2 linked regions of the Callithrix jacchus genome follow. The protein of the gene in region 1 purifies or fractionates together with the protein of each later gene. This does not show direct contact. Links are inferred from orthologs where the notes say so. Each region holds a gene or a part of one and is shown in the gene's direction. Other genes may lie near its edges. The genes, in order: MFAP1 and SF3B1.

Region 1 (12,551 bases):
AAGGAAAAAAAAAAAATTTTGTCTCAGGTAATTTTGAAATTTTAAATAAAACAGCAATGATTTAAAAAAAAAAAAAAGTATCTTGGCTGGGCGCAGTGGCTCACACCTGTAATCCATTTCAGGAGGCCGAGGTGGGCAAATCACTTGAGCCCAGGAGTTTGAGACCAGCCTGGGCAACAAACATGGCACAACCCACATCTCTACATAAAAATGGCAAAATTAGCCTGGCAAGATGGGCACATGCCTGTAGTCCCAGCTATTTGGGAGGCTTTATTTTTTTAAAACAAAGTCTCATTCTGTCACCCACACTGGAGTGCAGTGGCCCAATCTCAGCTCATTGCAACATCCACCTCCCAGGTTCAAGCAATTCTCCCATCTCAGCCTGGCTAATTTTTATAATTTCTTTTTTTCTGGGGTGGGGCGTGGAGGAAGAGACAGTCTCACTCTGTCACCCTGGCTGGAGTGCAGTGGCGTGATCTTGGCTCACTGCAACCTTCACCTCCTGGATTCCAGCAATTCTCCTACCTCAGCCTCCCCAAGCAGCTGGGACTACAGGCACCCACCACCACGTCGAGCTTATTTTTGTATTTTTAGTAGAGATGGGTTTCACCATGTTGGCCAGACTGGTCTCAAACTCCACCCACCTCAACCTCCCAAAGTGCTGGGAGTACAGGTGTGAACCACCAAGTTCAGCCTAATTTTTGTATTTTTAGGAGAGATGGAGTTTCACCATTTTGGGCAGGCTGGTCTTGAACTCCTGAACTCAGGTGGATCCATCTGCCTTCTTTAATTTTTAATTTTTTTTTTTTTTTTGGAACAACTCTAATAACTGACCTATTCCTTTACATCAAACTAAAATCTGCTTTATATTTACCTTGTATTCTCAGAATCTTACAGTCTAAAAGGCAAAAGGGATAATCTAATCCAGTGGTTCTCAAAGTGCAGTTCTGGACTAACAACATCAGTGTCTCTAGGAAACTGTTAAATATGCAAATTGGGCTGGATGTGGTGGCTCAAGCCTATAATCCTAGCACTTTGGGAGGCTGAGGTAGGAGGACTGGTTGAGCTCAGGAGCTCAAGACCAGCCTGGGCAACACACACCCCTACCCCTACAACATCCCAATGTCTCTATTAAAGTAAAAAAAAAAAAAGGAAAAAAAAAAAAAAGATATGTAAATTGTATGCTCCAACTTCAAAACTTCTGAATCAAAAACTCTGAGGGTGGGGCCCTGCAATCCAGTCTTAAACTCTGCAGGTAATTTTGATATAGCCTAAAGTTTGAGAACCACAGATTTTATCCAGTCCCCTCACTAAGGTGATTTGTTTAAAGGAACAGGTTTCTTAGAAATGGCTGTGCTAGACTCTCAACCCCAAGTCCAATTCATTTAACACTTACCCCATGCTGTTTCACTATGAGTCCTGGTTCTTAACTCTGGGATGAGAGCACATAAACCAAATTTCTATTTCATAACAATGCCCTTCAATTATAGTATCTCCCTTTACCTACTATCATTTTCTGTTCCCTGAGTTCCAGCAACATTGTGTTATGTACTATGTTTGGTTTTATCTTGTCCTGTGTAAAGTTTGTCACTTTGAATGGAGCACAGCCCTCCTGGTAGGCAGAAGCCAAAAGAATTACAAACCAAATTACTTAAATTGATTGAAATTATATAGAACTAATGTGTTTCTCATGTATCTTCTCTACTCTGTCATTTGTCCCCTTTTGCATTTAAAGGAAATATATTCAACAAATCAATATAATTAATTAATGTTTCCCTACCCTGATATCAAGGGTCAGTCAATACCTTATGTCCCACAAACTGACGACTTCTGATATATTGTACATAAACATGTAATGGTGAGCAAGGCACCATAAAGTATGAGTAAGCCCAAAAATAAATGCAGTAAGTTTAGAGGGAGTAAAAGGGAAACAGAGTAAAGATTAAGTCAATCCTCTCATTGACACACAGCAAGAGCAAAATTAATCCAAGTAAGTTACTTGTTAAACCTTAAAAATAATAGAAATTTATTGTTACACATTAATGATGAAATAATTTGTTTGTATTAGAGAGATCCTTGATAAACTTCGCTTTATCAGAACATCAAATTTCCAAACTTTAAGAGAAACTAGAACAAGCTACTAATTAAGTTCTTACCAGGCCTGGTGTGATATCTTCAGCACTGTCTCCATCCTGACTACTTTCCGTATCAACACCGAGATTCATCGCATCTGTCCTTCTCTTGTGTTGTAACTTGTTACTTTCAGTATGAACAGCTGAGGATGGATTTTGCAGTGTGGATTCTGCCTTGGAAGATGTGGTTTTCATCTTTGGAGGTATAATCCTTCTGCAAGTTTTCTTTATTTTAGTCTTCTTACACGCCACTTCATTGTTAGAATTCTTTTCTAATAGGGATTTGGGGCACATAAGCTGGTCTAGCTGATAATTACTGAGTGAAAAGGGGGTAAGATAGACTGTAGCTGTTTTTATTGAAACTGTAGTCTGCACTGGTTTCAGAGACACATAAGCGATGTTTTGATTTTCTTTATATCCATTTACCTATTCAGATCAATAAAAGAAAAGAGAATATAAGAATTCCAAGTTCTGTGCCTTTCCTTACAGGATCCCTAACAGATCTAATAATTCCCATTTCACGATGACAATATAAATCCAAATTGAGGCCAGGTGAGGTGGGTCACACCTGTAATCCCAGCACTTTGGGAGGCCAAGGAAGGTGGATCACCTGAGGTCAGGAGCTCAAGACCAGCCTGGCCAACAGGATGAAACCCCGCTTCTACTAAAAATAGAAAAATTAGCTGAGTGTGGTGGTGCATGCCTGTAATCCCAGCTACTCGGCAGGCTGAGTCAGGAGGATCGCTTGAACCCCAGGAGGCGAAGGTTGCAGTGGGCCGAGATTGCGCCACTCCACACCAGCCTAGGCAACAGAGCAAAACTGTCTCAAATAAATAAATAAATCCAAATTGATAGCCTGTAAGAAAACTTTTTCTCCCTTCCAAAATCTAGATATGTAATTCATTAACCTTAACCTCAATAGAATTCATTTACTTGGCATATTTCTTGCCCATAAGAGTTTGCCAGACCAATAATAATAATGACTAGCATTTATGACAGAGGCAATTACCGCAACTGCCAGCTGCGGATGGAATGATTTAGAGTGTGAAGCTGACCATAAGTGTGACAAAAGCAAACGCAGAAGGCTGAAGAAAGCGAATCCCAGATCTGACCCTCCCGCTATTTCTAGGATTATTGATTAAACTTTTCGACGACGCTGAAGGCCTCAGGGCAGGGATCCCCGCCTACCCCCAATGCCAGGTGCTCTCGACCTCCCAGGCCTGTATCCCGCAGAACCCCACAGAAACCGAGGCAGAAGCACACCCGGAAGCACCAACCCGTTTCTCACCTTCATCTGGGGTCGCTGTCTGGAGTTCGCCTTCTCAGCCGCCGCGTCCGACCCGGACATCTTTCGGCTGCTTAGCGGCCGGCGCCTTCCCGCCAAGATTGCGGCAGGAGGCCGGGAGGGGTGGAGCGAGGCCGCGAGTAGTAGGGCAGGACGGGGCGGGGCCGGGACGCGGCGGAACCCACTAGCACCACCGCGGTCGCAGCGCAGTAGCAGGAAGACCCGGTTGCGCGCGCCTCTTAAGAAAGCCATCTTAAAGCCCTAGACTGAAAATTCCTTAGGGATGTACTTGGTCTGAATTGACATTTTTACCTTTGACTGGTGATTCTGATTCTGGTGGTACTAGGATGCCGCTCTGCAAAACACTGGCAGGCCGGGCGCAATGGCTCACGCCTGTAATCCCAACATTTTGAGAGGCCGAGAGGAGCGGATCGCTTGAGCCCAGGACTTCGAAACCAGCCTAGGCAACATAGTGAGACCCTATGTCTACAAAAAATACAAAAATTAGTCCTGCGTGGTGCTGTGCGTCTGTAGTCCCAGATACTCGGAAGGCAGGGGTGGGAAAATGGTTTGAACCTAGAAGGATGTAGCCAGTGAGGCATCATGCTGCGGCACTCCAGCCTGGGCGACAGCAAAACCCTGTCTCTTTTATAAATAAATATAAAATAAGATTTTGGCTATTCTTCTGTTTAAGGTTCCTTCTAGCCCAAAACTGTTTCCTTAGTTGCTTAACTGGGTCCCACACTGTTACCTGACTGAGACTGGTCCACCCAAGGCCCAACTGTATAGAATACAGTTGAAGTAATTTGGGTAAATCATATTAACAGCAACTTCAAGGCCCTCCACGACTCAAAAATTACTGATAAAACCAAACTTTTCATGGTGTCCTGTATAATGCACAGTTTCTGGACTGCAAGACTGTTTCTGCTGTCCCTTGTGTCCCCCACAATGATAAAGTCCTTCCTACTGTGAAATATGCCCTTTCCCTTTTTTTCTTTTTTTTCTTTTTTTACACAACCCAGCTGGTAAATTGGGGCTGCTTCTGTTATTATTCTACAAGTCCTTAAAGAGTTCTTAAATAGGCCGGCCGCGGTGGTTCACATCTGTAATCCCAGCACTTTGGGAGGCCGAGGCGGGCGGATCATCAGAGGTCAGGAGTTCAAAACCAGCCTGAGCAACATGGTGAAACTTCGCCTCTACTAAAAACACAAAAATTACCAGGTTGTGGGAGGCCGGAGTGGGTGGATCCCTTGACCCCAGCCAACTCGGTAAAACCGCCTCTACTAAAAATACAAAAATCAGCAGGGCGTGGTGGCGGGTGCTTGTAATCCCAGCTACTCAGAAGGCTGAGACACAAGAATTACTTGAACCCGAGAGGTGGAGACTGCAGTAAGCCGAGATCGCGCCACTGCACTCCAGCCTGGGTGACAGAACAAGACCCTGTCTCGGTGGGGCGCGGTGGCTCACGTCTATAATCCCAGCACTTTAGGAGGCCGAGGTGGGTGGATCACGAGGTCAAGCGATCGAGACCATCCTGGTCAACAAGGTGAAACCCTGTCTCTACTAAAAATACAAAAATTAGCTGGGCATGGTGGTGCGCGCCTGTAGTCCCAGCTACTCGGGAGGCTGAGGCAGGAGAATTGCTTGAACCCAGAAGGCAGAGGCTGGAGATCGTGCCATTGAACTCCAGTCTGGGTAACAGCGAAACTCTGCCTCAAAAAAAAAAAAACCCTGTCTCAAAATAATAATTACCTAGAAACTTAAATGCAAACACTTTCCAGCCAGGAATATATTTTAATAGGTAGTTTCCAACTACCAGTGGAAGAACCTGAAAGCCTAGAAGTGGAGTTTTGGGATTTCGGGCAGGCAATGTCTCAGGCACCTTGGGGGATTTTTTTTTTTTTTTTTTTTTTTTTGGTCACTGGATTAAATCAGCACCACCTGCCCTGTGTGACACCAAATACCGCACCACAGCTCACACTGGCCTCATCAACTGACCTAATCAGATACTATTACCAAGATTTTTACTCCATCTAACTCTACTTTTTCTGAGCTTTCAACAAGCCAAACGGCAACTCACTGGCGCCTCAGTTTCTTATTAATTATGCTGTTCTTGGCTTCTAACCAACCTAACACGTGGAACCTTTCATTAGAACCTTCCTCACCGCAGGGTCCGCCGGTCCTACCAGCAAAGCCCAAAAGAAGCAAAATTTCCCGCCAAAGGCGGTTTCCAATTTCTGCGACGTAGAGGACCCGAGGGCAGCCGAAGAGCAGGCGCAGAAACAGACGCAACTTCCTAGCTGTGGGCGCTCATAGGTCCTCCACCGTCCCACAATCCTCTCGTTACATATTTCCGGTTTATCTAGCCCAGCCGTAAGCGGTTTCGCTATCAGTCGAGCAGCTGTGTTCGTGAACGTAGGTGGAAGGGATCGCTTCTCTTCGTTGACGTTGTTGGTGTTCACTGTTTGGAATTAGTCAAGTTTCGGGAATCACCGTCGCTGCCATCAACATGTCGGTCCCAAGCGCTCTCATGAAGCAACCGCCCATTCAGTCTACGGCTGGGGCCGTCCCGGTTCGCAATGAGAAAGGTACGGTGCTGACAACCCTCTTCCCAGCCGAATTTTACTCTTTCGGCCCCAGCAACCTCCAGATCTCTCCCAGGTCTGGAGAGGTCTGTCTCTCCCAGACAGACCACTTCTATCCCGCCAGCTCTCAAGATTTGGCTCCCAAATTCTTCGACCTTTCCACCCCCACCCACTCGCATCCGATCTTCTTCCTGTGGCCTGCTCTCATATTCAGCAAGCACCCCTTAGCCTACACAAATTCCTTAGACTAATATGTACATTATATATATTACATATATAAAAGTACTTAATAGTTACTTAGGAATTTAACTATATATCAGAATATAGATGTCTAATATCCTGGAATATATGTATTAGTCTAATATTAGAATATAATATCACTACATATTACTAGAATATATGTATTAGTCTACTTAGGAACTTAAGTATATATATATTAATCTAATAATTAGGGACTTAAGTATATATCAGAATATAAATATATAATATCAGACTAGATAGATATGTAGGTAGGTAGATACATAGACAGAGAGAATGCCTATTTGCTGGGCATTGTGCGGGATATAGTCCCTCTTTTGCTGTCCATAGAAGACTGCTTATGCTGCCCAGATTGGACTCGACGTCCTGGACTCCGGCTGTCCTCCTGCCTCAGCCTCCCAGGTAGACACCACCGTGTCTAGCCTCAACATGGATTTTGGGAATTATCTTTGAATCCCTATAGATATTTATTCATCTGAACTGCTTATGAATTCCATTGTGTACACTGTAACCAGCCAGAGGCGGTGGCTCACGCCTGTAATCCCAGCACTTTGGGAGGCCAAGGCAGGTGGATCCCAAGGTCAAGAAATGGAGATTATCCTGGCCGACATGGTGAAACCCCGACTCTACTAAAAATACAGAAATTAGCTGGGCATGGTGGTGTGCACCTGTACAGTCCCAGCTACTTGGGACGCTGAGGCAGGAGAATTGCTTGGACCTGGGAGGCGGAGGTTGCAGTGAGCCGTGATCGCGCCACTTCACTCCAGCCTGGCAACAAAGCGAGACTCGGTCTCAAAAAAAATAAATTAATTAATTAAATAAACTGTAACCCACAGTTTATTCCCTCCTGAGGGGCAGGTAGTTGTCCCATTGCTGTTTTTTTCCCCCTGTTAAAAAAGTGCTGCGGCTGGGCACTGTGGCTCACACCTCTGAGGTGGCGGATCACCTGAGGCTAGGAGTTCCAGACCAGCCTAGCCAACGTGGCGAAACCCCATCTCTACTAAAATACAAAAAATTAGCAAGGCGTGGTGGCAGGCACCTGTAATCCAGCTACAAGTTCAAGTTCTGCAGTTGTTGTTCTTTAGCCAATTCAGCTTTAATACCTCTCCAAAGTGAGTTGTAAAAATGTAAGAATTTGGCCGGGCGTGGTGGCTCATGCCTGTAATCCCAGCACTTTGGGAGGCCAGGGTGGACGAATCATGAGGACAAGAGATCAAAACCATCCTGCTAACATGGTGAAACTCCCTTGAACCCGGGAGGCAGAGGTTGCAGTGAGCTGAGATCGCACCACTGCACTCCAGCCTGGCAACAGAGCAAGACTGTTTCAAAAAACAAAAACAAAAAAGAATATAAGAATTTGTGGAGCACATTGGCTCACACCTGTAATCCCTCACTTCAGCAAGCTGAGGCAGGAGGATCACTAGAGGCCAGGAGTTCAAGACCAGCTTGGGCAACATAGCAAGACTCTCATTTCTACAAAAAAATTTAAAATTAGCTGGATGTAGTGATGTGTTCCTGCTACTTTGGGGAAGCCAAAGCAGGAGAATCACTTAATGCCCGGAAGTTCAAAGCTGCAGTGAGCTATGATTGTGCCGTTATACTCCAGCCTGTGCAACACCTTGAGACCCTGTCTCTTCAAAACAAGGCCGGGCGCAGTGGCTCACGCCTGTAATCCCAGCACTTTGAGAGGCCGAGGCGGATGGATCACAAGGTCAAGAGATCGAGACCATCCTGGTCAACATGGTGAAACCCCGTCTCTACTAAAAAATACAAAAAAAATTAGCTGGGCATGGTCGCGTGTGCCTGTAATCCCAGCTACTCGGGAGTTTGAGGCAGGAGAATTGCCTGAACCCAGGAGGCGGAGGTTACGGTGAGCCGAGATCACGCCATTGCACTCCAGCCTGGGTAACAAAAGCAAAACTCTGTCTCAAAGGCTGGGTGTGGTGACTCGCAGCTGTAATCCAAGCACTTTGGGAGGATGAGGCGGAAGGATCACGAAGTCAGGAGTTCAAGAGTAGCCTGGCCAACATGGTGAAATCCCATCTCTGCTAAAAATACAAAAATTAGCTGGGTGTGGTGGCTAAACCTAGAGAGCGTATTAGACACATGAACAAGATGCCCAGCATCACTAGTAATCAGGGGAATGCAAATTAGAATAACAAGATGCCATTTCACACCTGTTCCACCTGTTAGATTGGGCAAAAATGTAAAAATCTGATACAACCAAGTGTGTAAATGATGAATATATGGGAAATAAAGCTCTGAGGTTCTCAAAGTTTTTTTGTTGTTTTTTTTTTACATGGAGTCTCACTCTGTGCAGAATTGCGATCTTAGCTCACTACAACCTCTGCCTCCTGGGTTCAAGCAGTTCTCTGCCTCAGTCTCCCGAGTAGCTGGGATTACAGGCGCCCGCCACTACACCCAGCTAATTTTTGTATTTTTAGTAGAGACAGTGTTTCACCATGTCTCCAACTCTTGACCTCAGGTGATCCACCTGCCTCAGCCTCCCAAAGTACTGGAATTACAGATGTGAGCCATGGTCCCCAGCTATTTTTTTTTTTTTTTTGAGATGGAGTTACGCTCTTGTTAGCCAGACTGGAGTGCAGTGGGACGATCTCGGCTCACCGCAACCTCCACCTCCTGGGTTCAAGCAATTCTCCTGCCTCAGCCTCCCAAGTAGCTGGGACTACAGGCGCACACCACCATGCCCAGCTAATTTTTGTATTTTTAGTAGAGACAGGGTTTCATCTTGTTGACCAGGATGGTCTCGATCTCTTGACCTCGTGATCCACCCGCCTCGGCCTTCCAAAGTGCTGGGATTATAGGCGTGAGCCACCGGATTCCCAGCTTTCGTAAAGGTTTTCTAGCTTCTGAGTGTTCGTATATATTAAATTGGATTGAATACATACTTATACAAAACACACTTTAAGTTAGGGAGCTTACAGTCCTGTAGGGAATGTAAATATTTAAGATAAGTTTGTTTTTGTTTTAGTTTTTTCCCCCCACAAGATGAAGTCTTGCTCTGTCAGGCTGCAGTGTAGTGGTGCGATCTTGGCTTACTGCAACCTCCACCTCTTGAGTTCAAGCAATTCTCCTGCCTTAGCCACCCGGAATAGCTGGGATTATAGGTGCCCACCACCACACCCGGCTAATTTTTGAATTTTTAGTAGAGACGGGGTTTCACCATGTTGGCCAGGCTGGTCCCAAACTCCTGACCTCGTGATCTGCCTGCCTCAGCCTCCCAAAAGTGCTGGGATTACAGGCGTTAGCCACCGTGCCCAGCTGATAAATTTTTCATAGTTGGGTCTTTAATCCATCTGGAATTTTTGTGTCCATGGTAGAAGTTAGAGGTCTAATTTTACTATATGTTTGGCCAATTGTCCCTTCTCTGCTGATGGATTAGCCCATCCACTCTCTACTGATTTGTAATGCCACTTCTGTAATATACTCAAGTTCTCATATAAGCTTGTTTTTCTGCCCTCTACTCTGTTCAGTTGATCTCTGTGTACTTCCTGGGTCACTGACATATCTGGTAAGCTATTCCCTAACCCTCCTTCCCCACCCCCATCAGCTTTTATTCTTTTTCAGCATTTTCTTGGTTCTTTGGGGCCTCCTGTTCTTCCATATGATTTTGGAATAAGCCTAGCGACAACTTTTAATGGAACAGCATTAAAATGATAGATTATACATTTATAGGTTAATTCAGGCACAGCTGCCATCTTCTCATCTTTGAATGTGAAGTATTTGTTTATTTAGATCTTAGATGTTTTTCATCTTTCAATAAAATTATATCATTTTTCCCTAAAAGCCTGCACATTGTTTATTAGATTTATTCCTCACTGTTTTATACATTCGTTGTGATTTTTCATGGTATTTTAAAACTTCATTTTCTCCAGCCTGGGCAACACAGGAAGACCCCATCTCTACAAAAAATACAATAAATTACCTGGGTGGCACCTGCCTGTAGTCCCAGCTACCCAGAGGCTAAGGAGGGAGGATCACTTTAGCCCAGGAGTTTGAGGCTGCAGTGAGCCGTGATCATCCCACTGCATACCAGCGTGGGTGACAGAGACTCTTTCTCAAAAAGTAAAAAATATACCAGGCATGGTGGCTCACTCCTGTAATCCCAGCACTTTGGGAGGCCTTTGGCAAGAGGATTGCTTGAGCCCAGGAGTTCAAGACAAGCCTGGGCAACATAGTAAGACCTTGTCTCTTTAAAAAAAATTTTTTTAATTTATAGTCCCAAAAATAATTTTTTTGTAATCCCAGCTACTTGGGAGGCTGAGGCAGGAGAACAGTTTGAGCCTGGGAGTTCTCATATAAGGCTGTGGTGAGCCATGATTGTGCCACTGCACTCCAGCCTGGGCAACAGAGTGATTTAGACCCTGTCTCAAGAAAATCAATAAATAAAAATGAAATTGTATTTCCTAGTTATATGTAGCTAATAATATACAGGTATGCTTATTTTTATAAATAAGTTTTATATCCAGCATTTTTTCTGAATTCTTTTAGCTTATCTGTTATCTTGTGTTTTCTCCAAAGACAACCATATAATCTGCAAATTATGGCAATGTCCCCCTTTAAAATCCTTATAAATTTTCCTTACTGACCAAATTAGAACCATAATACAGTATTGACTAGAGGGTATGATAGGGACAACATTAGGATGCCCACTGTTTTTTATAGAGAATGCTTCTGGCCAGGCCCAGTGGCTCACACCTGTAATCCCCACACTGGGAGGCTGAGGCTGGCTGACAACCTGAGGTCAGGAGTTCAAGACCAGCCTGGCCCACATGGTGAAACCCTGTCTACTAAAAAATAAAAAATCGGCCGGTTGCAGTGGCTCACGCCTATAATCCCAGCATTTTGGGAGGCTGAGGCGGGGGGGATCACAAGGTCAATAGATCGAGACCATCCTGGTCAACAAGGTGAAACCCATCTGTACTAAAAATACAAAAATTAGCTGGGCATGATGGTGTGCACCTGTAGTCCCAGCTACTTGAGAGGCTGAGGCAGGAGAATTCCTTGAACCCAGGAGGTGGAGGTTGCGATGAGTCGAGATCATGCCATTGCACTCTAGTCTGGGTAACAACAGTGAAACTCTGTCTCAAAAAAAATAAATAAATAAAAAATTAAAAAATTAGCCAGGCATGGTGGTGGGCACCTGTAATCCGAGCTACTCAGGAGCCTGAGGCAGGGAGAATTGCTTGAACCCAGGAGGCGGAGGGTGCAGTGAGCTGGGATCATGCCACTGTGCTGTAGCATGGGTGACAGAGCAAGACTCCATCTCAATCAATCAATCAATAGAATGCTTCCATTGTTTTATCATTAAGTATAAAGTCTGCTGTATCGTTTAAAAAAAATGTGACTAAAAAATAGTAGACCAGGAGAGATGGCTCACACCTGTAATCCCAGCACTTTGGGAGACTGAGGCTAGAGGATCACTTGAGGCCAGGAGTTCAAGGCCAGCCTGGGGAACATAGTGAGACCCTCTCTCTACCTTTTTAAAAATAACAAAAATGAGTTAAAAATAGTATATTGCTTCCCCTCCCATTGTCTATCTACCTATGTATATTAATATAGATAGATAGATAGATGATTTTTTAAGACAGTCTCGCTGTGTTTCCCAGGCTGGAGTGCAGTAGCGTGATCTCAGCTCACTGCAACCTCCACCACCCAGGTACAAGTGATTCTCCTACCTTAGCCACCTGAGTATCCAGGATTAACAAGCATGTGCCACCACACCTGGCCAATTTTTGTATTTTTAGTAGAGACAGGGTTTCACCATGTTGGCCAGGCTGGTCTTGAACAGCTGGCCTCAATTGATCTGCCCACCTTAGCTTTCCAAAGTGGTGGGATTACAGGCATGAGCCACTGTACCAGCTATATATATTTTTGTATTTGACCCAGGGTCTTACTCTATCACCTGGGGTCGAGTGAGTGCCAGGGTGTGATCACAGCTTGCTGCAGCCTCTACCTCCTGGTCTCAAGCAATTCTCCCATCTTACCCTCCCAAGTAGCTTGGGACCACAGACATGCACCACCATGCCCAGAAATGCATGTCTGTAGAAAATTCTTTCTACTTTTAGTAGAGATGAAGTCTAACTGTGTTGCACAGGCTGGTCTTGAAATCCTGGGTTTAAACAATCTCCTGCCTCAACCTTCCAAAATGCTGGGATCAGAGGTGTGAGCCACCGCGCTCGGCCCCCTCGTTAATTTTCTAAGGTGAAACTATCCTTGTAGTCTTGGGCTAAATTCTAATAAGCTGTGTTGACTTAGGGGTTTTTTTGT
Region 2 (11,474 bases), on another chromosome or scaffold:
GATTACAGGTGTTAGCCACCGCACCTGGCCATAAGTTATTTTTTTAAAAACATCAGTAATTGATGTCAAAGTGTAGCTTCTTCTCTTTTTTTTTTCTTTTTCAGATCCTCGTGGTCATTGAACCGCTATTGATTGATGAAGATTACTATGCTAGAGTGGAAGGCCGAGAGATCATTTCTAATTTGGCAAAGGTATTTACATTAAATTTCTAGAGAAGAAAATTTTTATCTGTTTGTGGAATTATTTGATTATGGAAGGAAATGGTTGAACATTAATATTGGCAACTGATGACTGTTCCTTTTTTCTTTACTTTTTAGGCTGCTGGTCTGGCTACTATGATCTCTACCATGAGACCTGATATAGATAACATGGATGAGTATGTCCGTAACACAACAGCTCGAGCTTTTGCTGTTGTGGCCTCTGCCCTGGGCATTCCTTCTTTATTGCCCTTCTTAAAAGCTGTGTGCAAAAGCAAGAAGTCCTGGCAAGCAAGACACACTGGTATTAAGATTGTACAACAGATAGCTATTCTTATGGGCTGTGCCATCTTGCCGCATCTTAGAAGTTTAGTTGAAATCATTGAACATGGTAAGTTGCAATGTAACTTTGTCTTTTTTTTCTCTTTAAGAGGTAAGGTCTTTACTATGTTGCCCAGACTGGACTCAAACTTCTGGGCTCAAGTGATCCTCCTGCCTCAGCCTCCTGAGTAGCTGGGACTAGAGGTACACACAAAAGCCTGTCTACATTTAATAGGACAGCTGTCCTAAAATTTGGGCTACTGATTTGGGGAGATAAATGGAAGGGCGTAACTGTACAAACTATATATTTTATGGGTTTGTGATGTTATCTGCTAACAGGCTGTGGTTCATATTTGCTTTTACCTAATTTTGTCTAATGTGAGCACATTCTGCAGTTTAGCTAAATAGTTGATATAGTGCAAGAATCTGGATGATATTGTATAACTTAGGTAATGTTGGTGCATAGTTAAAACCTGTGTTTGGTTTTGTAGGTCTTGTGGATGAGCAGCAGAAGGTTCGGACCATCAGTGCTTTGGCCATTGCTGCCTTGGCTGAAGCAGCAACTCCTTATGGTATCGAATCTTTTGATTCTGTCTTAAAGCCTTTATGGAAGGGTATCCGCCAACACAGAGGAAAGGTAAATCCACCAATTACTTTTTGATTTCTCTTCATTAAGGTGACATAAATCTAAATTACTAAACTACATTTATTTTTTATTTAAAAACAGGGTTTAGCTGCTTTCTTAAAGGCTATTGGGTATCTTATTCCTCTCATGGATGCAGAATATGCCAACTACTATACTAGAGAAGTGATGTTAATCCTTATTCGAGAATTCCAATCTCCTGATGAGGAAATGAAGAAAATTGTGCTGAAGGTATTTATTCCAAATTTGTTAACGTAAACCGGGTTTGTTTAATGGTTCTTAGATAATTTTAAAGTGTTTTTTTAAAAAACAACAGCAAAAGAAAACTATGTTACACCAGTACTGTTTGATTTGTTTTAAATTTTATTTTTCAATATCAAGTAATCAGCAATGAGTATTCTCTTCATTTCAGGTCAGTTGATTTATTATTACTGTTTTTTTAACCTTTTAGGTGGTAAAACAGTGTTGTGGGACAGATGGTGTAGAAGCAAACTATATTAAAACAGAGATTCTTCCTCCATTTTTTAAACACTTCTGGCAGCACAGGATGGCTTTGGATAGAAGAAATTACCGACAGGTAAGCTTTTATTGTAAAAAAAATATTCTCAAAAATCCTTTATACTCATTTTTTATTTCGTTGAATCCATGTTGCATATTATTTTTTTGCTTTGATTATCTCACAGTTCATATGTGCTTGATTATGAAAGGAGGTGGAGGCCGGGTGCGGTGGCTCACGCCTGTAATCCCAGCACTTTGGGAGGCCGAGGCGGGTGGATCACGAGGTCAAGAGATCGAGACCATTCTGGTCAACATGGTGAAACCTCGTCTCTACTAAAAATACAAAAAATTAGCTGGGCACGGTGGCGCGTGCCTGTAATCCCAGCTACTCAGGAGGCTGAGGCAGGAGAATTGCCTGAACCCAGGAGGCGGAGGTTGCAGTGAGCCCAGATCACACCATTGCACTCCAGCCTGGGTAACAAGAGCGAAACTCCGTCTTTAAAAAAAAAAAAAAAAAAAAAAAAAAGAAAGAAAGGAGGTGGATTTTAGTCAGCTGGTTAACTTCCATTTTGACTTGGCATTCAAGGATCAATACTCAACTGTGAATTGATGTTTTTGTCTGGTAAATCCAGTGCTTTATCTGGCTAGGTGAAACATGGATACAGTTTACCTACCTTGAATCACGTTAGCTTATACTCATTCTTAAATTGTTTGGTCACTTTTCTCTTCAACTTTAATAAATAGCAATGAATCATTCATGGTATGTTTACTAGCTAAATAATACATTTAGAGTATTTGGTTTTTATGATGTTGCTTTGTTTCCTTGGAAAAGCAGTCTAAAAGAGGTGTTTTTTTTTTGTTGTTGTTGTTTTTTGTTCTTTTTAGTTAGTTGATACTACTGTGGAGTTGGCAAACAAAGTAGGTGCAGCAGAAATTATATCCAGGATTGTGGATGATCTGAAGGATGAAGCCGAACAGTACAGAAAAATGGTGATGGAGACAATTGAGAAAATTATGGGCAATTTGGGAGCAGCAGATATTGATCATAAACTTGAAGAACAACTGATTGATGGTATTCTTTATGCTTTCCAAGAACAGACTACAGAGGTAATGATAACTAATTATTATGGCACACTGCCACTGACTTTCATATTTTTAGAAGAAGCATATTACTTGTCAAGCAAATTTTTCTAAAATGCAGTTGTATTTGAAGTAATTTTTAAAATGCTCCTGTTCTTGGATACCAAAAAAATATTCTATCTCAAGTTTTAAGATTTGATGTAAAAAAACAACAGATGTTTTGGTGGTTGAAAAAGATTGACTATTAGTATATTTCAACTGTGTAGTCATAAAGAAACCAAATGATTGTGTCTTTTTATTTATTTATTTTAGGACTCAGTAATGTTGAATGGCTTTGGCACAGTGGTGAATGCTCTTGGCAAACGAGTCAAACCATACTTGCCTCAGATCTGTGGTACAGTTTTGTGGCGTTTAAATAACAAATCTGCAAAAGTTAGGCAACAGGCAGCTGACTTGATTTCTCGAACTGCTGTTGTTATGAAGACTTGTCAAGAGGTAAAGTTTTGTGTCAAATTTTTACTTCTTCACTAAATAGTTTAATGTAAATGGTAACATTTTAACATTATTTGTTTTATTATAGGAAAAATTGATGGGACACTTGGGTGTTGTATTGTATGAGTATTTGGGTGAAGAGTACCCTGAAGTATTGGGCAGCATTCTTGGAGCACTGAAGGCCATTGTAAATGTCATAGGTATGGAGTTTGCTGGTTGCATAAGACTTTTTCTTGTTTTGTTTAACTTTCTTTTTTCTTATTTTAAGTAAAATACAGAGTCTTATTTAGGTGTTGGGAGGTTTTTGTTACTTTTTTAAAAGCACTTCAAGATTGTAGTTAAGTCAGGGGATGCCACAAAAGTCTTGTTTCCCAAAACCCGTTTATATGTTACTTCAAAGAGAAAAAAAGGGCAAGTTTGGGACCTACAGGAGAGGTGGGAGTAGTCACAATTCCAAAAGCTTTGAGGTTATGGAATATAGGACCCTAGTAAAAATGGTGTGTCAGCTGAAATATATTCTGCAGGGCAAAAAGGCAACCCTGAAGTTTTAATTTAGTTTTAGAATTATATATAAATATATATATAATCTTGAATTAGTAAGTGATTATGACAGTTTTTTTTACTTACCATCAGTTTCAAGGAGTATAATCAGAAAAGTGAATTGATCAAATTATTTTCTTAAATTTATTTATATACCCAAGTTTTAAAAATTGTCTGTTGAATTTTCTAACCCAAAACACAGTTATATTACAAATGGTCTTAGATACGGAGAGCAAAGTTTTTATTCTGTTAGGTCAGTATGACCAAGAAAAGACATGGGTTCTTGTATTTAATCTTTTTTTAAAAAATTTATTATGACTGTTGACAAATGTAACTCCTGCAGAGTTTAGAGGGTCTGATAACCTAGCAGAAGTCAAAATAGCTGACTGTAAGAGAGCCACTGTTTGTTTTTTTCTCATTAGATATAAAAAGTTTTTATGCAATTTATATCTTTATACTATTCTATTTGCATATAATCTCCAATGCAGCCCAGTCCTCTATACTTGAAGATAGTTACTTGCCAAAAATCATTTACACAGCCATTTGTAGGCCTCTGGTTTGCAGGGAGTTTCAAACTGTATTATTTGTCAGAGAGAGGCATGGGAAGAGCAATGGAGAGAGAATCAGAGCACGCGATTCTAGTTAGAGCAAGAGCCCCTGCCAGCTGCCTCCTTTTTTCTCTCTTCATAGGTGTAAATACCATCCAAGTATGCCCTGCATTGCAGGGAGACTGGAGATCTGTTTGTTTTGCAGTTAAAGGGTAAGGGGGCCCTTTCTGGAAATTTTTGCTTTATTTACATGTTTACCTCTGGCTTATATTGTTGTGTACGGCCGGAACATAAGCTGTCCCCATATTTAAATGTCAGTACACAAATACATTTCAGAACCAAACAAAACTTTTTTGTTATTGAGTATCCATCATTTAAATCACTTCACTGATTTCTTTCATTTCTATGCATAATCAAAAGTTGTTAATGAAAGTTAAAAACGATTCTGAATCTGGTCAGAATCTGGGCTTTCTCTTTCCAAAGGCAGCTGTAAGTTTATATTTATGCACAGTCATATATGACATTGCTAAGTAAAAGGAAAGTGAACAAAAGTTGCAATTTAAATGTTGATAGTGTATTGACTTCTATTAAATAGGTATGCATAAGATGACTCCACCAATTAAAGATCTGCTGCCTAGACTCACCCCCATCTTAAAGAACAGACATGAAAAAGTACAAGAGAATTGTATTGATCTTGTTGGGCGTATTGCTGACAGGTAAGCAGATTACCCAAACATTTTTATAAGCAATATCAGTTTTCAAGTTTGGCCACTTTTTATTCAATTAGCAAAATTTTTTTAATGTCACTAATATAAGTGTATATGATTAGGCTATCCAGTATTAATATTTTCAGTCAAATTTCATTTTGGATGGTAATGGGGTGGCAATATAATTTTAAGACTAAACCTTTAAGACTAACTCTAACCTTTCTGAAGAGTAATAACTTTTATTTAATGCTTAAAATGAGCTAGCAATCATGTTTTTAGAACTGAATTTGCAAATTTACCCTTAAAACTTAATGTCACAAAAATTAATATGTGTATTTCTTTTTTAATTAGGGGAGCTGAATATGTATCTGCAAGAGAATGGATGAGGATTTGCTTTGAGCTTTTAGAGCTTTTAAAAGCCCACAAAAAAGCTATTCGTAGAGCCACAGTCAACACATTTGGTTATATTGCAAAGGCCATTGGGTGAGTGTTATTTACTTCCATTAAAAAAAAATTATAGTAAATCCGTTGTGGTGTTGAAATCTCTTTTGAGGCATGGTCTGAGTAATGCAGTTGCAAAAGCACTTCATTTAACCGCTGACCTTCTGATTATTGGAATGCATTCTTAAATTCAATTCTTTCTTTTTTTTTTTTTTTCTTTTCGAGACAAAGTCTTGCTCTGTTACTCACTGCTAGAATGCAGTGATGTGATCTGCAACCTCCACCTTCTGGGTTCAGGTGATTCTCCTGTCTCAGCCTTCCCAGTAGCTGGGACTACAGGTGTTGCACCACCACACCTGGCTAATTTTTTGTATTTTTTAGTAGAGACGAGGTTTTTACTATGTGGGCGAGGCTGCTCTTGAACTCCTGACCTCAAATGATTCACCTGCCTTGGCCTCCCAAAGTGTTGAGATTACAGGTGTGAGCCATTGCGCCCAGCCTGTAGTCTTAAATTTTTAATTGAATTAAAATAAATTTACTTTAATTATATGTTAGGTATTTTCAGGGAGAGAAACAGTACCATTTTCAGAAAAATTTTAAATGTGTATTGGTTTTTTGGATATTGCTTAAACTATAAAGGCAAGTTTTTAATCTTACAGCATCATTTAAGTCTCATATTGAATGCTCTGTGTTTTAAAAATTTTATTATGGATTGCTTGAGCTTAGGAGTTCAAGGTTACGGTGAGCTGTGATTGTGCCACTGTACCCCAGCCTGGGCACCTGGGCCCAGGACAAGACCCTGTCTCTAAAAAAACAACAAAAATGCTATTCTAACATTAATCCACAGATTTAACTGAATTATAGCTGCTTTGTGAAATAATCTGTGGTTGTTTACTTCCACTCCATTACAACTAAAGTGGGAAAAAGCAGTCATTATAGAAAACGAGACACTGCGTGTTCATGTGGCTTAAGTAAGAAAATGTTTTTAAGGAATATGACATGCGAATGTCTGATTCCTTAGTTAGAATTAACCAGACCATACTCTCTCTCTTAACACATACTCATTCCTCTCCTATTTTGGTAGCATAATATTTATTTTAGTGGTGATGGAGTCAAGAAATTTGCAGCCAATAGCTGTTGTGCAAGCTTTTAGCCTCAGTGTCCCATAAGCTTATGTCAAAGAAGAGGTGAATAGATGCAGCAAATTGTGTGGGAGGGAATATGAAAGGAAAAAAGATTTCATATGGTTTATAGTGGGAGACTGCAATTTGGATACTCATACCTAGTTCTAGTGCCCATTTTGACAACTCAGAGAATTACTCACTTTAAACATTTACTTACATTTCTTTATATATCAGAAAGTTTAAAGACTGAACATTGAGAATTAATTTGAGTTAACTTAACATTTTTAGAATTCATACAGCTATGGCCTCTGATCTCAGAGTTAACTTTTAAAAACTGATCTTTTAATTTATATGAAATTTTCATATAGAAACAACAATGCCAGTGACTTGAAAATACTGCATTTTTATCATAAAATTACTGAGCTCCCTGTCATTAGTATTTAAAAGTTTTCATCCTCATGCGTTTTTTTCTTCCATAAATTTTTGACTTATGGAAATCAAAGTTCGACTTATTATTGTTGACCCATTTGTTTTTTTTCAGCCCTCATGATGTATTGGCTACACTTCTAAACAACCTCAAAGTTCAAGAAAGGCAGAACAGAGTTTGTACCACTGTAGCAATAGCTATTGTTGCAGAAACGTGTTCACCCTTTACAGTACTCCCTGCCTTAATGAATGAATACAGAGTTCCTGAACTGAATGTTCAAAATGGAGTGTTAAAATCACTTTCCTTCTTGTTTGAATATATTGGTGAAATGGGAAAAGACTACATTTATGCTGTAACACCATTACTTGAAGATGCTTTAATGGATAGGTAAGTGACTTGAACTAAATACAGGAAAATAATTATAACTCTTCCTTCATTTTAGAACATCCTGAAATAGTTATTAGATGACTTTTCATTGTAATGTAGATAAAGAAAAAAATGCTAGCCTGGAGTCTTAGGACATTGTAAATATGACTTATTATTTAAAATAATGTGCACATTGTAGTGATTCTCCAAAGTTTCTTTCAAGTTCCCCACCTCCCTTTAAATCTCTTTTCATATCTGTTGAACTACATTTTGAAAAGGGTTGATAATCTTTTGTTTTCAAAATTGGTCAAATATAGTTACAGGAATTGATGAGCAGGAGCTAGTCAGTGTGGCAGAGACCTGATGTTTTTTAGCTTTTTATTGTAGGTAAAGCACAGATTTCTCTTAAGCTTTCGAATTACTGAACATAGTCTGACAGAGCTGCACTCTTCCCATTGCAGATCCCTAGTGTTTCAGATGGTGACCACCAGTACAGTACTGTTTGAGTTATTTGACAGATTCCTAATACCTTTTACCATCTAGACTGATATTATAGCCGTAAACACAAAAGTAACTGAAGAAAGTGCAAAGGAAAGTGCAGGCATAGTAAAGGAAAGAACTGTTTAACTGGCTCTGTATTTTTCAGGAGAGATAAGTTACTCAAATCAGAGCCCATTCAAATACTTTTGTGTATAAATTAAAGTTATTCATTAATGACCTGAAAGGGAGACTTAAATGGACTCATCAAAAAGTTACCAGAATATATATATGCAAGACATGGAGACAAAGTAAGAATTGAGCTCTGTAAAAGCCTTGCTGCCCAGGGCAGAAAAAAATGAGGGTAAATTGCTCTTGCTCCATACTCCTCATTGAGAAGTGCCTGAGCACTATGGTTAAAAATTTTGTTCTGTGTACTAAATTAAAAATTTTAACTTTTACAGTTAAAAATTTTGTTCCGTATACTAAGAAGTTGGGGAGTAATTCCATTGAAAATTACTAAATGGAAAGAATACTTCAGTTGGAAGTTTTATTAATGAGGAATACTGCTTCATGCTTATGCTGAATGACATTATTAAAATAAACAAGAAAAACAAGGGTATTAATAAATACAAGCCTTTTTCTCTTATATCTTTGATATGGTCTGTCTTACTGTCTTTGGGACAAAATGTGGAAACTCATTTTCATACCTGTTGCAAATCCCAGTATGTTAGCCAATGAGTTCATACTTGGTTGAATAATTGTGGAATGAATCACTCATTGATTTTTCATAAACATAAATTCAGTTAATGTAGGAGATGATAGTTATTTCTGTAGGTTTGAAAAAATTATTGAGCTTTCTTCCTTTGCTCAAATTAAGTTACTGAATGAAGCATAAACTTTATGTGAGAAGGGAATTTAATTTTAATTCAGTTATCTATTATATGCCAGTATCTAAAGTACTGGTAAAAATTTAAGTTTATAATCAAGAGTTTAAAATGATTTGGGCAGCCAAGGCAGGAGGATGGCTTGATCCCAGGAATTCACAGCCAGCCTGGGCAACATAGCGAGGCCCTATCTCTAAAAATAAAAAAGAAAAATAAATTTTTTTTTTTTTTTAAACATTTTCACTCTTGTTGCCCAGGCTGGAGTGCAAGGGTGTGGTCTCGGCTCACTGCAACCTCTGTCCCCCTGGGTTCAAGTAATTCTCCTGTCTCAGCCTCTTGAGTAGCTGGGATTACAGGTGCCCAGCACTACTGGCTAATTTTTGTATGTTTAGTAGAGATAGGGTTTCGCCACGTTGGCCAGGCTGGTCTCGAACTCCTGACCTCAGGCAATCCACCCACCTTGGCCTCCCAAAGTGCTAGGGGATTACAGGCATGAGCCACCATGCCTGGCCTGAAAAATAATTTTTAAAAAAGTGTAAAATAAGTTATTACTGTTCATTATTCATAGTTAGAGTCACGTCTCCTCTTTAGTAGCATAACAAAGCCAAGACATCACAGAGCCCTTCTGCTCATATTCATTTTAAAAGTTAATTAGAAAATATGGCTTAATAGTTGAGCCATAGTGAAGCTTGAGTCATTAAAGCAAAAGTCCTCAAGTGGAAGCTTTAGTCATTCTAAAGGATATATTAGATACATGAAATGTTAGGATGACTTTACATCTGTTCAGTGCACTGAATTCGTTTTTAATAGGCAGGTGAATATTTCCTGTAAAACTAAGACCGTATCTTAAAGGATTTTTTTCCCTTCCTTTGTAGAGACCTTGTACACAGACAGACAGCTAGTGCGGTGGTACAGCACATGTCACTTGGGGTTTATGGATTTGGTTGTGAAGATTCACTGAATCACTTGTTGAACTATGTATGGCCAAATGTGTTTGAGACATCTCCTCATGTAATTCAGGCAGTTATGGGAGCCCTAGAGGGCCTGAGAGTTGCTATTGGACCATGTAGAATGTTGCAATATTGTTTACAGGTAAGGTAAAGATTTTCTTTTTAATTGTTGATTTTTTTTTTTTTAATTTAAAGTTGTGGGATACATGTCCTGAATGAGCAGATTTGTTATATAGGTATACATGTGCCATGGTCGTTTGCTACACCTATCAACCCATCATCTAGGTTTTAAGCCCCACATGCATTAGGTATTTGTCCTAATGCTCTCCCTCCCCTTTTTCCCCACCTCCTGTAAGTTAAAAGTTTTTAAAAGATTACTTAGCAAGAAAAAGTAGTGTGTTGAATTAAGTTACCTTTTCTGATTATCAATAAGGCTATATTGTGCTATATGGGAGAACAGTTGTGTGGTGAGGGAGGAGTTAGTTTTTTCTCTTCCGTTATAGTTTTGTGTAATTACTAGGTTCCCCCTCCCCAAGGGAAATAATTTTGAATCATATCTATATAGTTTGTTTGTTAATTTTGTTAAGGTTATGTATGTTCTTGAAAATTGAAATGATTTAACTGTTCAATTATTCTAGGGTCTGTTTCACCCAGCCCGGAAAGTCAGAGATGTATATTGGAAAATTTACAACTCCATCTACATTGGTTCCCAGGACGCTCTCATAGCACATTACCCAAGAATCTACAATGATGATAAGAACACCTATATTCGTTATGAACTTGATTATATCTTATAATTTTATTGTTTGTGTTTAATGCACAGCTATTTCACACCTTAAACTTGCTTCGATTTGGTGATGTAAACTTTTAAACATTGCAGATCAGTATAGAGCTGGTCATAGAGGAAGAGCTAGAAATCCAGTAGCATGATTTTTAAATAACCTGTCTTTGTTTTTGATGTTAAACAGTAAATGCCAGTAGTGACCAAGAACACAGTGATTACATACACTATACTGGAGGGATTTCATTTTTAATTCATCTTTATGAAGATTTAGAACTCATTCCTTGTGTTTAAAGGGAATGTTTAATTAAGAAATAAACATTTGTGTACAAAATGCTAATTTGTGTCTGTTTTTTGAACATGACTTGTAAAATGCGGAACTTTGGTAAAGTATTGGTTTATGTGGATTAAGTGGCTTAATTTCATTTTCTGTCACCTGGTTTATAGAAAGTAGCAGAATAAAAACTATATAAAGTGATGGCATATTTGTCAGAATTCCATTGTTCTGTTAATGACAGGAAGAAGAGTAGTCTTGGGGAGGTGTTCCCCTCAAACTAGCACAACCATTCCATCATCATAGGAAAGTAGCACTTTTGCTGAACTGTCTTGAATAATATTTTGTACTTACATAGCGCCTTTCATCTCTTGATTTCTCAAAATGCTTTATGAACATGTTTAAAGGAAGTGGTTTAAGTTTTGTCTAATGCTTGGTAGGTCTACTGTGTTTAGCAAGGGAGGAAGATAACTTTACTTCAAAACTGCTCTCTGCCTTTTGGGAGTGAGGCTACCTAAGTAATGCTGATAGAACAGGACAATGTTGGGCTTTTCCCCATGTCATAAGCCACTACTCAGCAATGCATCAGTAAATACCTATTGAGTACCTACTGTATGCCAGCCACTGTGCTTAGATGCAAGGGACGCAAAGGTGCATGAGACCTGCCCTCTACCTTTAAGAACAGTATAACAGAGAAGGGGAGAGAGAAATCTTGTTACAG

Evidence for each region.
Region 2: the proteins of MFAP1 (region 1) and SF3B1 purify together in Homo sapiens (co-immunoprecipitation; 3 studies listed by BioGRID and IntAct, with this or other methods). This does not show direct contact. The link is inferred for Callithrix jacchus from reciprocal best matches to the Homo sapiens genes MFAP1 and SF3B1.

What each region holds. Positions count from the first base shown.
Region 1 is NC_133509.1:31,480,529-31,493,079, reverse strand, and holds the start of MFAP1 (microfibrillar-associated protein 1), read left to right. Parts: upstream 1-5,790; 5' UTR 5,791-5,926; coding exon 5,927-6,005; intron 6,006-12,551. Other genes in the region: WDR76 (WD repeat-containing protein 76), read right to left, coding at 2,157-2,558, 3,421-3,480. UniProt on the Homo sapiens protein: Involved in pre-mRNA splicing as a component of the spliceosome.
Region 2 is NC_133507.1:118,356,957-118,368,430, reverse strand, and holds the end of SF3B1 (splicing factor 3B subunit 1), read left to right. Parts: intron 1-104; coding exon 105-191; intron 192-317; coding exon 318-588; intron 589-1,009; coding exon 1,010-1,155; intron 1,156-1,245; coding exon 1,246-1,392; intron 1,393-1,539; exon of another isoform or gene 1,540-1,595; intron 1,596-1,612; coding exon 1,613-1,738; intron 1,739-2,544; coding exon 2,545-2,766; intron 2,767-3,051; coding exon 3,052-3,234; intron 3,235-3,319; coding exon 3,320-3,431; intron 3,432-4,461; exon of another isoform or gene 4,462-4,531; intron 4,532-4,914; coding exon 4,915-5,035; intron 5,036-5,377; coding exon 5,378-5,509; intron 5,510-7,132; coding exon 7,133-7,405; intron 7,406-9,623; coding exon 9,624-9,840; intron 9,841-10,336; coding exon 10,337-10,495; 3' UTR 10,496-10,813; downstream 10,814-11,474. UniProt on the Homo sapiens protein: Component of the 17S U2 SnRNP complex of the spliceosome, a large ribonucleoprotein complex that removes introns from transcribed pre-mRNAs.